2 linked regions of the Coturnix japonica genome follow. The protein of the gene in region 1 interacts with the protein of each later gene in a pairwise test. Links are inferred from orthologs where the notes say so. Each region holds a gene or a part of one and is shown in the gene's direction. Other genes may lie near its edges.

Region 1 (6,784 bases):
TTTAAATTCCTCTTTTAGATGTTGCACTAGCAAGTGTAACATGTCTTTGGATTGTACAGAATTTAGGGTTCTGAAATGAGGAGTGGGAATATGTCAACAGACAAAAAAGCAATCCTCAGGCTTAAGTTGCTTAACCCTGCATGTGTTTACCCCAAATGACTTAAGCAGCTTCTAATCAGATTCTCAGTAGGCTGCTATTACTTACTTGCTTCCTATAGCATTCAGGTTCTTAAGCATAGAAGCAAAATAGTTGTCAGCTCATGTTATACTGTTGAGATTCACAAAGCAATAGGTAAAGATTAAGGCATATTTAACCTGATCTTTTCTTATAAAGGTATAAAGCCTCCTCTTCAGAATAAACAATTTTTGCAATTACTTCATTATTTAACGCAGAATACTTACCTGCTTCCATAGATAAGACACAGAGGATGTCCATTTCCACTTTATACAGTCAGTAGTGTATGGTTTAAACTCATAGCTAAGAGGGGCAAAAGTATTTGTCTCCATCAAACTATATGCACTACAAAAGATACATTTGGTGACCTTGTCTTTCTATACTTTTCTACAACCACTTACAAGTAAAATCTAGCTTCCTACAAGCAAGTACTCCTACATTTTAAGAAATCTTTGTATGTAGCCGAGCTCTACATACTGTTATTATGCAGCTATTAAATCTTTTATAACACTGGTGAAAAATCTTACAGTATTATGACAAAAATTGTGTGCTATTTGACAAATCTGTATTACTAGAAGCTTATTAGCTACTAACTGGTGCAAGTGTTTTATATCCACAACCAATGGATGTGATTTGTCAAGCAGTATCCTAGTGGGTGCTAATTCAATGTGGAAAAGTTCTGATAATAACTCAATATTTGAGATACTTTTTTTCATTGAGGCTCCATGTCTGTTTTAAATATCAGCTGTGTAACGTGACTGTGGCACTGAAACACAGCATCTGTTTCAATTGTTTGGTGATTTTAGCACATCATGTTGGATAACTGATCTGATGGAGTAATCACGTTGATATTTATTTACCATGCAGTTTGCATTTTTCAAAGCTGTACTCAAATAATTGCCAGGGGAATTGTATGGATTTGTTAATTCAGTCACTGTTATCCTTCTTGTAAAACAAGGGGGTGAGCTGCATGTATCTGGAGCAGCTAATCACACAACCAGTGCAGCAGAATCAAAATTAGAACAGAGGATTCTCCTGCTTCCTGACCCTGCTTTAATCAACTTGGCATTCTTGCCTGTCTAGACCATTCTGCATTTAACTCTTAATCAATTTTCTGTTGACATAAGCTAGACCCACACACTTTGATTAAAAAGTATATGTAGTGATATATGGTTCTGACCATTCCATTTTTACTGCCTCCATAGAGTTCTGTACCATATGCTTATTTTCCAAGCCCCAGTTATCATAAGACATCTATTTTTGTCTCGGTTACTGCAAATAGGATTGTTACCCGTGCACTAACTTACAGCCTGTTGCTTGTATTTAGCTTTGCATTACACGAGGTAGAGCTCCCTAGAGGCAGAATTTGCTTTGGTGTGTTCCTATTCAGTGGCTGTTCTTGTACATGCTATGTTAGATATGAGAACAAATCTTCCATTCTCATTGATGTTATTAGAGAGGGTGCAAACATACATAAATTAAACATTTAACCACTGCTTTAAAGATTAACATTCCCCAGGCTTCCTATTAGAGCAAAGGAAATGGCAGCAATGCCCATGTTTTACTGTAGCTGCTTGGATTTGACCAATATAAATGCACAATGAAACGGTCCAGCTGATGAGTTTTGCTCTTTTGTGGTGGTTCACAGCTCTGAATTCTGGGCAACCTACTGCTATCAAATTCCTGCCTGGCATCCCAGGAAAGGATGATGAGCAGAGCCCACTACATGCTGTGGAGAATGGAGCAAACAGAAGCAAGTGTAGTTAATCCCTGTGCTGTAAGCTCTGGAATTTGTTTCTCAGATTAATAAGGAATTTGAGGGTAAGTTCCACAGAGGTGAGAGCACAGTTTGGATCATCATTAAGGTTTCCTTGGGGACAACAGTCCCTGCTGAGGAATGGGAAAGGCACAAAGGAGACACTTAACGTGCTCTACTGTCAAGACCAAAACTTCCCCCTAAAATACATCGGGGTACAGCAGATGGCCCCTCTGCTTTGCAGCACTCCTCACTTTCTGTACCTCACCACTTACTCTGTGCTCTTTGAACGAAGCACTGCAGCGTGAGACCTCGGAGCTGAAACAAGATACCACCAGGATACAGCGATACGACACTCCAGCCACGAACAGCCGGGTAAACTCAAACTAAACTGTTCATTTCTCTTCTCACAGCCTCCCGTCCACACACACACACACCCCTCGCGCTCCCTCACAGCCGCGCTCCCACCCCCGCTCCACTAACGGTCGCCACAGCGGGGCAGCTGAGGGCGGCTCTCGCGATACTCGAGGCGGGGCGGTGGAGCCGAGTTTGAATGATGGCGGCGGGGCGGGCTGAGCGCTGAGGTAACCGGCGGGGCTGGGTTTTATGTGAGAGTTTTGCTGCTTTCCTGTTATTTTCCTTCTGGAGGAGGGTCTTTGTGAGCGGTAGGACTGAGGGGGCTCCTGGGGGGCGTTTAGCAACACTTGTTTACTCTCCTCGCTCTGCCGCGGAGCCCCGCGGCCTCCAGGCCGTGATGCCGCCTTTGTGGCAGCGGCTCTTGGTTCTTCAGCCGCCGCGGGGCTGCTGAGCGCTGCTGTGCTGTTAACGCCTGAACACTTTAATTAAACCTCATGGAGAACTTGGAGAAACAATCTATTCCCTACACCAGCACTTCCTGAGCCAGCAGTGTGCCCTTGTAGCCAAAAAAGCCAATGGCATACTGGGGTGTATTAAAAAGAGGGTGTCCAGCAGGTCAAAGGAGGTGATCCTCCCCCTCTACTCTGCCCTGGTGTGAGGCCTCATCTGGAATATTGTGTCCAGTTCTGGGCTCCCCAGTATAAAAAAGACAGGGATCTCTTGGAAAGAGTCCAGCAGAGGGTTACTAAGATGGTGAAGGGCCTGGGGCATCTCCCCTATGAGGAGAGACTTAGGGAACTGGGTCTGTTTAGCCTTGAGAAAAGAAGGCTGAGAGGGGACTTGATCCAGGTTTATAAATACCTGAGGTGTGGGAGCCATAGTGGTGAGGCTGGTCTCTTCAGTAGTGCGTGGGGATAGGACTAGGGGTAATGGGATGAAAGTACAGCATAGGAAGCTCCATATGAATGTGCAGAAGAACTTCTTTACAGTGAGGGTGACGGAGCACTGGAACAGGCTGCCCAGGGAGGTGGTGGAGTCTCCTTCTCTGGAGATATTTAAGACCTGCCTGGACGCCGACCTGTGTGACATGGTGTAGGGAGCCTGCTTTGGCAGGGGGGTTGGACTTGATGATCTCTAGAGGTCCCTTCCAACCCCTACAATTCTGTGATTCTGTGATTCCTGGTCTGATTGAGTGCATCCAAAATAGACGGTAAAAAGCTGGTGTTCCCCGTTATCCTGAAGACATTATTCTGCTGAAGAAGTTTGTGAATAGGGAACCGATTTTAATTGTTTTTTAAGCTTCTGTTAGGTTGTTTAATTTCATAACGTCCTGCTGGTGTTATCCAGTATCTAATCTATTGACAGCCATAAGATCTTGTCTTTGAAACTGTGGGAAATAGCAGAGAGACTGAAGAATAACTGGATGGTTTCGAGGCAAATTCACAAGTTAAATTAAACTTTAAAATGCCGTTGGTGCTGGGAGGAGGCGGCCCTGGGAGCAGCCCTGCTTCCAACTTGGGAACGATTGCAGTGTGTCTTTCCTTTGGCAGCAGTGCCTGATGTAGCTGCTCCTGTGCTGTCTGACAGCTGCCTTAACAGAGGGTACAGTGAGATCGGCCTTTCTGTGGGGTTTTAGGAGCTGATCTCATTTCCACAAGGCAGCCACAGTCATAGAGCTCATAAGACAAGGATTGCTGTGGAGGTAACAGCCATTTGTGCTTTATATGCACTGCACAGCTGTGTTTGTTGTTGTTTTTTTTTCCAGGGCATAAATGTTAAGTGACACTTGAATGAACTTCTGAAGGTGAGTTAAAAATATTACTGAAATTTAATGCAATCCAGGAGCAGTTAAATTATTTTACCTGTAATCGTCACATGTTTCTGTTGGAGCAAATAAGTTTCTTTATTATTTTTAATTTCTGTTTATTAAGTAAGAATTAATTAATGCCCTTTGGTGCAAATACCTGCAAGGAGTTTTGTCTAGTTTTACTTATGCTGCCTTCTTGTCTTTAACAAGAATTGTGTAAAGATTAAATTCTATGCAATGTATGTGTCCCTGTAGTTCTTGTAGTATTCTATAGAATGCTGTCGTGTTATAGGTTCTTCTTAAATATACATATCTGGCAAATCTATATCTTTTAAGATTTATTTCGGGTTAGGGGTGTAGAACTGCTAATTCAAGTACTGCAGTAAGTAGACATGAAAAATTAGTTTCCAAGTTTAACAGAAAGAAGAAATGAGGGAAAATGAATGCTCTCTGATTTCCATCTTGTCCCTGTGAAAGGAACTCACAGGGTTCTGGTGCAGTGGATTTCTGTCTGTTAAAGTAATATCTTTATAAAGGAATCTGAGCAAGTCGAGTGGGATTATTTTTGGTACACAACAGCTTGTGGAAAATGAAGACGTTACACTGTAAGCTTAACTATGATCTTAACTGTATTCACCAGTAAAATTTGCAGTGCATTAAGAGCAGCATCTTGTGCATAGAGTGTCCTTGTGGCTGTCAGCCAGTAAGAATGAAGGACAGTAAAATCTTGAAGAGTGACTTTGATTATTTTTATTAAGTGATGTAAAAATTGGGAACGTTGGCTCTGCAAAATCAGCCGTAGTTGCTGTATTTGTTGTTACTGTGTGCTTTCTGAGAAAATACTGGCTTACATGGCTCAGGAGCTCAAGTTACTTAGAGATCTCTGCTCTAATGGGATTGTTTTGTACTGCATGGATTTAGTAGGCTTAAGAGTCAGCAGTCGTGCAAGCAGTTGGTACAAGTTTGAGTTGAACTTCGTTATTTTAGTATTTTGCTTGGAATCATTTTTTTTCTTCCTGAAAAATCATCCTTTGTGTCGTATGTTTGGAGATGAAGATAGAAATCAATGAGTTTTCTAAGACTTGCGTTACTGTGTACACAAGTAATGTTATGGTTCATATGGTTTTATTTATGGTAATGTGGAAGACATCAGTCACGTGCATAATTGTTTTTGGCCTTCTCTGTTGAGATAGCTCTGTGCTGGGTATCTCTGATTCTGCTGAAGTCCCTGCGATGTCAGGAACTGACCCAGGGTATGCAGGAGTTGCTGCACCACATGCTATTCCTGCTCTGCAGTCACAACAAGACAAAGTGACCATTTTATTATTAGTGGGATCACTTGTTAGAGAGCTAACCACGTTTTGTCTTGTGTTGATGTAGCCTGTACCTCTGTACCATAATAAGGCACGGAAATACAGTAACTTTGCTCAGTTGAACTGCTTTCACAGGTTGGCTATGATTGTAACCATTTTTTCTTTCCAAATTGAGGCAATAAAAGGAAGAAAAAAATGGAGACAGAGACCATTCTAAATCTTAGACAACAACTGAAAGAAGCAGAGAACGAGCGAAGAAAGGCTGCACAATATGGCTTACACTTACTGGAGTCTCAGAATGAAATTCAAAATCAGTTGGATCAAATACGGCGTGAATTAACGGAGAAGACTGAGGTGAGGCTCTAAACTTGAAGTAAAAGATTAAGAAGTTACTTCTGTTTTCTGAAAGTCACAAGTGTTTTAAATGCCTTCTAGAACTTCCAGATGGATTTTCATTGAACTTCTTATTTTAAGTATTGAGAGGACTTTTGATTGCTGCTTTGAGATAATGAGCACAACTTTATCTAGCTGGACATAGTTTCAGAGCTCATTCTGCATCAAATGCTCAGTACCATGTAGGATTAATTACCTCTTATGTACATGAATAGTAGTTGCTGAAGTGAGCTTGTGTTGGGTCTGTTGAACCCCTGATTTATGTTTTGCTTGCTTTGCAACCTTTATGCTGCTTAAAGCTGTAAAGAAGGTTTTTGACTGGCAAGGTGGTAAAATTGGTTTCATTTGCTGTACACACTCCAAATTTTCTAAATACCAAAGGACTCTGAATTTTAGTACATTTCTTTACAGCCTAGAAGTAGGCGAGTGTCAAGTCAAAATATAGCAATATTAATTAGACTTCCAGTCTTCTAGATAATTGTGAAAGAAAACTGAAGTGTTAAGGAGTCTTTTCTACTATGTTAAATGGTTTAACTTTGATTTGTTTATTCTCATTTTGCACTTCAAATGTTCTGTTTCTCTTTATCTGCTCCTAGCTCTGCACTGCTGTCCCTTCCCTTGTGCTAAGGCTAAAATGTGTATTTTTCTCCTGGCCAGCTGTCGTGTTGTAGCACCCTGCTGTTGTGGATGAGCACTAATAACTTATTTTGATTGGTTTGCCATTAGCAGGCTTAGGGCAAGGGAGGCAGTTGGAAATCACAAGTGATAAGAAGGCATGACAGGATGATCCTTCTGTGCAGGCAGCCTGGTGTGGTATTGCTCTGTTGTGAAGCTGCACCCATGGGTTGCATTCTACCACTGTAGACTTGAGCAAATCTGAACTAGGCTTGTGTGAACTAGATCAATAAGGAACTTAAGTTTCAAGGTCCAGGAGAGGGAATTGTGTGCTTTTGGATTGCACAAAACTTCAGCGGAAGGTTGAA
Region 2 (6,784 bases), on another chromosome or scaffold:
CTATCTGAGCAGTGCAAAACATGAACTGATTGTTGACTTCTTTTGCTGTTAATAAAGATGTAATATTTGCCCCTTTAGAAGAACATACATCAGAATCTGAATCAAGTGTTCTTGGAAAATGTATATGATAGATTTTTGTCCAGCACTGTATGCAACTTTGTTGCTTTCTGTTGTCTGGTTTAAGTTTCTTTTAAAATAAAGAAGGTGGGGGTTTGTTTTAGTTTGTTTGTTTTTGGGGGTAATTTTGTGTCGATTTTATGAAGATGATGTAATGCATAAGTGAACTCTGAATGTTTTGCCTGTGAGAATGCATTTGGATTGGGCGTAACCCTGCAAGCCACTGTATCCATTTGGAAAAGGCAGCTCCTGTTTCTGTTGGAGAGAGCTGCTGTCCTGTAGAGGCATTAATCTGAACTAACTTCAAAGCAGATTAGTAAAGGTCTTATACCATATCCCTTCTATTTATTAAAAGATGGGAAGAAATGCGAAGGCACCATTTGGCTGTATGAAATTGCAGAGCTTTTCACTTTGGGAAAGAGATTATGCAAATAATTATTTATTCTAATTAATAAAGTTCTTACTGAGCCATTACTATTTTTTTTTTCCTGAAATGCCATCGCTAACATGCAGGAAATGAATACCTTACCTGTGATGTTTATAAGCAGTGCTATGGGTGGTCCCAAACCACACACTGAAAGCACTTCATGGAATAAAAAGCATCTCAAAAAATGTGCCTGCTCTTCTCAAAATGTGAAGGGATGAGAGAAATGGGAGAGAACTTAGAAGAGGGGTGTGGGGGGGGGGAGGGGAGGGAGAAGGTATTTATTAAATTATGATAAGAATGCGTAAAAGGAAAGTTTAAAGCTTCTGAAGCCATTAGGTGGAAGCAAACCCCTGCAAGATATGTATGTATTGGCAGCTAGAGGATCCAGAGTAATATTAAGATTTGTCTGAACTACAAGCCTCTGTCCTATAAAGTACAGGAAATAAGAATTTAAGTTTTCCATGGGATGTTTCTGCATTTTTGTCTGGTAAGTTATTACCAACAGAAGATTCTGAATTGACCTGTGACTATTGATTTCTGAGTCCCTTTTGTGTGCTGTAGCACCTCAGTCTGCTACTTTCACCTAGGAATGTGTTAGTGACTTTTATTATATCTTCTTCTTTTTTTCTTCTTTTATTATATCTTCTGCAAGTGAAGTACGGAGCTTGGCATAGGAGATCTGGTATTTAAGTAAACAGGTATAAATGTAAGGTACTGGAACTATTTTGTGTAATTTGAGAACATCAAATACTGGTAAGTGTAACTGTGGCCTGTGTTGTAAATTGTGTATAAATTTGTTATTTCTGGCAGGCATAAATAACAAGCTGCTTCATTTCAGTGTATTCTCTGTGACTGAAGTAAAAATGACATCTGGATGAGAAAAGCAGAAAGCCGGCCCTCAGCAAATGTAAGACTTTGTTATCTTTGGACAGGGTTATGTGTGGTAAGAATACCTAAAGCATGTTGTCTTGGAGTCAGATCTTGTTTTGCTTGTACTTTTGAATGCTCTTGGAATGAGGATCTTAATTCATATCTCAGATTCCCGTTCATGCAAGCATTCACCGTGATGATACTGATCTTGGTGAATGAAGGTGGAAAATAACCCAGAGATCACATCAATTATGATGGATTTCTTTCTCTGAAAAAGGTTTCTAAACCCCTGCAGTATCTATGTTGTTCTGAGAGCAGTAGTGAGCTCATAGTATGAACCACTGGCATCTGATCACTCCTTCAGAATACAGTCACATTAGGAACGTGTGCACATGTGTACACACACACACACACACACACACACTCACTCATTCCCTTTTTGGTTCTTTTGGATTTTTCCAAGTAGTTCCAAGTAACTTTACATATGTCAGGGATTTAAATGCACCGGTGCTTCTCCTCAGCTGACGTTCCCCAGAACTAGTTGCTTTCTATGTGCTTTGGTTGGACACAGGCATTGCTGTTTGGGCAGCAGCCTGTTACCTGTCTGGGTCAGCACTGTGTGGGGCACTACATGGCCTGCCCCTCGTTAGAGTTCATCGGGAGCTTCAGTGCTTCAATCAGCCCTCGGCTAGTAATAGTTTTTACTAGAAGTTCTCAAAGTACCAACAGTGGGTTTTTGGAACGGCAGTTGGATAATGTGAGCTGCGTTCCATCGTTCCCTGCTCGGGTGTGACTGACGGAATCCAGACCAGCTCCGTGTCTCGGTGAGTAACGGGCTGAGATCCGACCCCCTCGCTGAGTTCTGCGGCCCTTCACTCCCACCCTGCGGCGCTCCGCTCCGCCCGGGATCCGTTGGGTTACGGACCCCGGAAGCGCTCGGCCTTCCCTAGCAACGCCCGGCGCCATGCCGCTGTGGCTGCGGGAGCACAGCTGGCGGCAGAGCGGCACGGCCGTGTACCTCTCGCTGCCCGTGCGCGGCCTGCGGGTCACCGCCGCCAACATCTTCTGCACCGAGCGGTACCTGAAGGTGGGCGGCAGGGCAGCAGGGCTGCGGCTCGGCGCTGCTCCGTTGAAAAGCACGCGTTCAGCGCTGCTGATTTTGCGGTCTCTTACAAACGTTAGGCTCTGCTGTCCCATTACGTGCAGCGAGCTGTTAGTACCTATTCCCTAGTATGTTTCCCTATAATAGTACCTATTCCCTAGGCTGCCGTGTCACCGGTCCAACTAATAATGCCAGCACCTGCTTTGCCTTTTGTGTAAGCTTCTGCTTATACTGTGACTTATAATGATAAACTCGAGGTCTGCTATTTCTATTCAGGTGCTGAAGAACACACTGTTTGGGTCTCTTATCTGGTCCGGCTGTTATAAAACCTCAGTAGGGCATGCTAAGCTAATCAGCTTGCTGAGTAGCACTTGTTGCCTGAGTGTTGAGTACTTGGAACACCCAGGAATGAAATAAGAATTCATTTATTAGTATGTGTTTGCTAACTGTGTTTTTATAGGTAAGCGTCCCTCCCTTTTTATTTGAGGCTGTTTTATATGCTCCGATTGATGAGACAAATAGCACAGCAAAGATCGGCAATGGAATCGTCTTCTTCACTTTGTATAAAAAAGAAGCGTCCATGTGGGAGTCCCTGACTGTAGCAGATGGTAAGTTCTCTGCTGGGAAAAGCAGATTGCGTGTAAAGAACCCAAGCTGTGTGAAAACTCTTTTCTGTGGCTTTGCTGCTTTTCTAATTGTGTTATTTGATATAGATAAATGTTACCTTTACGGCTTCAGAAAGTGCAGGAATTGTCATCTGTCACTGAACATTGTGGATGTCAGACGGGGACATTATACCTCTTGTTTTTCTCTGGGTCACCTCTCACTCATTCATAGGAAATTGTAGGTGATATTTGTGGTGTTGCCAGTTCCATGTTGACTGACCGCTGGGGCTGAAATGCTGGTTCTGTGTAGAGAAATTACTAGAAAAGCCAATTTAGGGGGAAAAAAAGAATTCTGCGCTCTAACTTTACAAATCATAATTAAAAATGTGTAACCTGCAGCTGCATGTCTACTAAATTAAACCTTGTTTATTGTTAAAATAGAAAGTACAGCAGAACAGACAAATAATGTTTCTTATGAAACTAACTCTGTGTGTTCGCAAGTCTTTGATTTTGGTGTTTGGAGATGGGCTTGATGAAAACTCCTTCGTGGAGCTGGAAGCGTTGCATTTTCTAAGGCAAAGTGAAAGAGAGGAATCTTGTTTCTGTGCAAGTGGTAAGTCACAGTAGAATTTCAGACCTGAATTAGTGAACAGTTTTTGTTTATTTAAGTTAACAAGGAGGAACTGCAACACCTGAGAGAGAATGCTGTTCTAAGAGCACAAGAAAAGGCAAAAGAGGAGACAGAAGCAAAAAAAGTTACAAAACAGGAACATAAGAAGTATGCTTTGGAGGCTACAATGAAGGTAAATGTAGAAGGAACTCGATATCCAAGACATGGATGTAACTGTCTGCCGGCTAACCTGGGAGCTGGTTGGTTAAATGTCCAAGTACTCATGTTTATTTCAGTGGTGAGTTTTAAAAGCTAGTCACAGTTTACTGCTCATCATCACAATTACTGTCACAGTCATTTTTAAGCATTTTTTATAACTTTGCCTGTGGGCTCTTGATGATGATGATGATGATAATGATGATGATGTGCTTGGGGTATGAAACTGGCAAAAACAATGACACCTTTTACTCAGTTATCTTATTATTGAGTGTTGTGTATCTCATAGTTCTATCATTCACACAGCTAGAAGAAGCAGAAAGAAAAAGAATTGAAGGTCTGAAAGAAGAGGAGAGACAGAAAGTCACTAAGGAGTTGGAGCTATGGAGAAGTCAACAAAAAGATGATGATAAACAAAAGAGGGTACAAAATGAAGGGGAACTGCATGAAGAAGTAGAGCAACTAAAGGAGAAGAAAAGGGAAAAAATAAACAAAACTGGAATTTCGAATGAAGGAATTTCTAAGACCAAACTCAAAGATACAAGAGGTTGTGTTATTGAGATATATTTTAACATTCTGCACAATGTGGATATAACTTTATTCCTAGATGTTTCTGGTTCATTTTTTATCTTTGTCTCTACTGTACTGAACTCTTTTTTTTTTTAGTTTGCAGTTACTTTTGTGTCTTTATTTTCTTGCAATTCATTGAGCTAAAGTGAGTGAGTTCTTAGCTCTCATTTAAGTCTTTGGAAACACCAGCTAAGTTTTGTTGTAGGCTTTAGTGAAATAGAACAGAAAGTCTTTCAAACAGTGTAATGCAAACTTTCTGAGGGTGGAGTTCATGTTACCAGTGGAGTGTCTAACTGCCATTTTTCATAGAGATAAGCATGCTCGTTTCACTCTCCCATGCCTTGGTCCTTCAGAGAGCCAATAAGGAACTAAGCCAACAAAAAATTTGTTCCTTTTGGTTTTGTTTGTATTGTTTGGTAAGATTAGTTTTAGGTCTTATGCTTGCCCCACTAGAGAGTCACGTGAGTGAAAGCGTGCATTAAAATAATTCATTTCTGACAGGTAGTGTAGTGTCAGTAATAGATTGCATGCTTAGCAGCAAGAACAAATGCTGCTTGAAACTTTCCCTCAATAGAATAAGTCCCAACTTTCCTGAAGGCTTATTTCTGATAACCAGAATTTCTAGATTGGGTTTATTTTGGAATTGGGAAGAGAAACAGAAAGATAATCCCTTTTCCTTCACTTTTCAATTCTGGTACTTTAATTCTTTTTGTAGGTCATGGTTCCCATAGTATCTTTTCAGAGAATTTAAAAGAAGAGCAGTTACCAGCTCCTCGATCTGCTGGTACAATTAAAATCAACTTTACACCACGAGTTTTTCCTACAGCTCTACGAGAGTCTCGTGTAGCAGAAGAGGAAGAGGTAGGGATTGGTCTGTTTGTGTGGTGCTTCTCTTGTCTTCCAGGATGGCAAACTATTTACTCTTTATTCAGGAAGTTGGCAAAAACGTCACCTGTGGACTATTCTTATCTTCCAAAAGAATACAGTCTTACCTAAAGATTTACATACTTTTTGCAGTGCATTGTGCAGATAAATAACATTCTTATTTTTAATTAAAAATCTGCAATATTGAATTCCACAAATAACAAAGTTTGAAATTTATTTGCTCTTACATTTAATACTCATTAAGTTCTGTCTTAAAAAAGAACTCGCTAAAGCTTACTACTCACAGTAAAGCTCTCCTGAGCTTTATTTAATAGGTATTATGCTGCAGTAACCTTACTTCTCATGTAGCAATAAAATATTTTGGGAAAATAGGAAATTGTTCCTGTCTTAAATTATTAAATATTTAACTGTGTCCAAGATAGGAGGCAAATAGAATTATTTCGGTAGGACTGAATGAGCAAATAAGAACAAGATTTAATTTTTCCTTCAGAAATAATACTTGCAAATTGTCTATTTAAAGTGGCTACAAAAACAGGCAGAAGCTCGAAGGACAATAAGTGCTGATTTGTCTGAGCTGGAAGATTTAAAAGAAGAGGAGAAGAATCCAGACTGGTTAAAGGACAAGGGAAAGTGAGTTAGATTCCGTATGAAGATTTATTTAAAATGAAATATTAGTTTCATTGTGTTTGTCTTATGTATAATTGTGATATTTTCTGTTTATTCTAAACACAGGTGAGGAATGTCTGCACAGTGAAAAATTTATTGGTAGCTTAAGGGGTTTTAATCTCATAGAAAGAGATGAAATTGCTGAAGCAAATTCATGAACAAAATCATATACAGCACATTTTCATACTGAGGACAGGTCAATTAGTGGAATATTATACCTAGGTGATTTCCTGTCACTTGTACTTACCCAGAGGTTAAACACCTGTCTGAAACAAGCATTAGGAATTTGATAAAACTATTGGTATGTTTATGTAGCTGTGTTACACAGGAAGTTTTGATTAGATAATCATAATCTGATGTATCTCTTTTAAAATTGGTCATGTGTCTGCATAGATGTGTCCACTTTTTAGCGATATGTACTGCTTTTAAGCATAGACATGATGCTTTGCAAAGCATGGACAATATGCAATGTTCTGAGAGTTGTTTGACATTCTGAGCATTAAGTTCTCAGAAAAGGCTATAAATGACCAATGAAATCTGTTTAATCCTCAATTTTTGCTAAATTCTTATCGATAAGTAGATATTTGTTTTGTGATGCGTTACCTTTTCAAATCATGTTTCACTTCTTGCTTTATGCTTAGCAAAATGTTTGCAGCAGGAGACTATCTTGCAGCGGTAAATGCATATAACCTTGCAGTCCGGCTAAACAATAAGCT

What was found.
Region 2: the proteins of SPDL1 (region 1) and DNAAF4 interact in binary tests that used the Homo sapiens proteins (3 or more experiments, as listed by UniProt). The two-hybrid records come from large-scale screens. The link is inferred for Coturnix japonica from reciprocal best matches to the Homo sapiens genes SPDL1 and DNAAF4.

The regions. Positions count from the first base shown.
Region 1 is NC_029528.1:6,761,360-6,768,143, reverse strand, and holds the start of SPDL1 (protein Spindly), read left to right. Parts: upstream 1-2,423; 5' UTR 2,424-2,515; intron 2,516-4,053; 5' UTR 4,054-4,092; intron 4,093-5,583; 5' UTR 5,584-5,603; coding exon 5,604-5,762; intron 5,763-6,784. UniProt on the Homo sapiens protein: Required for the localization of dynein and dynactin to the mitotic kintochore.
Region 2 is NC_029525.1:6,876,875-6,883,658, forward strand, and holds the start of DNAAF4 (dynein assembly factor 4, axonemal), read left to right. Parts: upstream 1-2,283; 5' UTR 2,284-2,378; coding exon 2,379-2,501; intron 2,502-2,976; coding exon 2,977-3,124; intron 3,125-3,790; coding exon 3,791-3,924; intron 3,925-4,253; coding exon 4,254-4,494; intron 4,495-5,232; coding exon 5,233-5,378; intron 5,379-5,922; coding exon 5,923-6,032; intron 6,033-6,709; coding exon 6,710-6,784.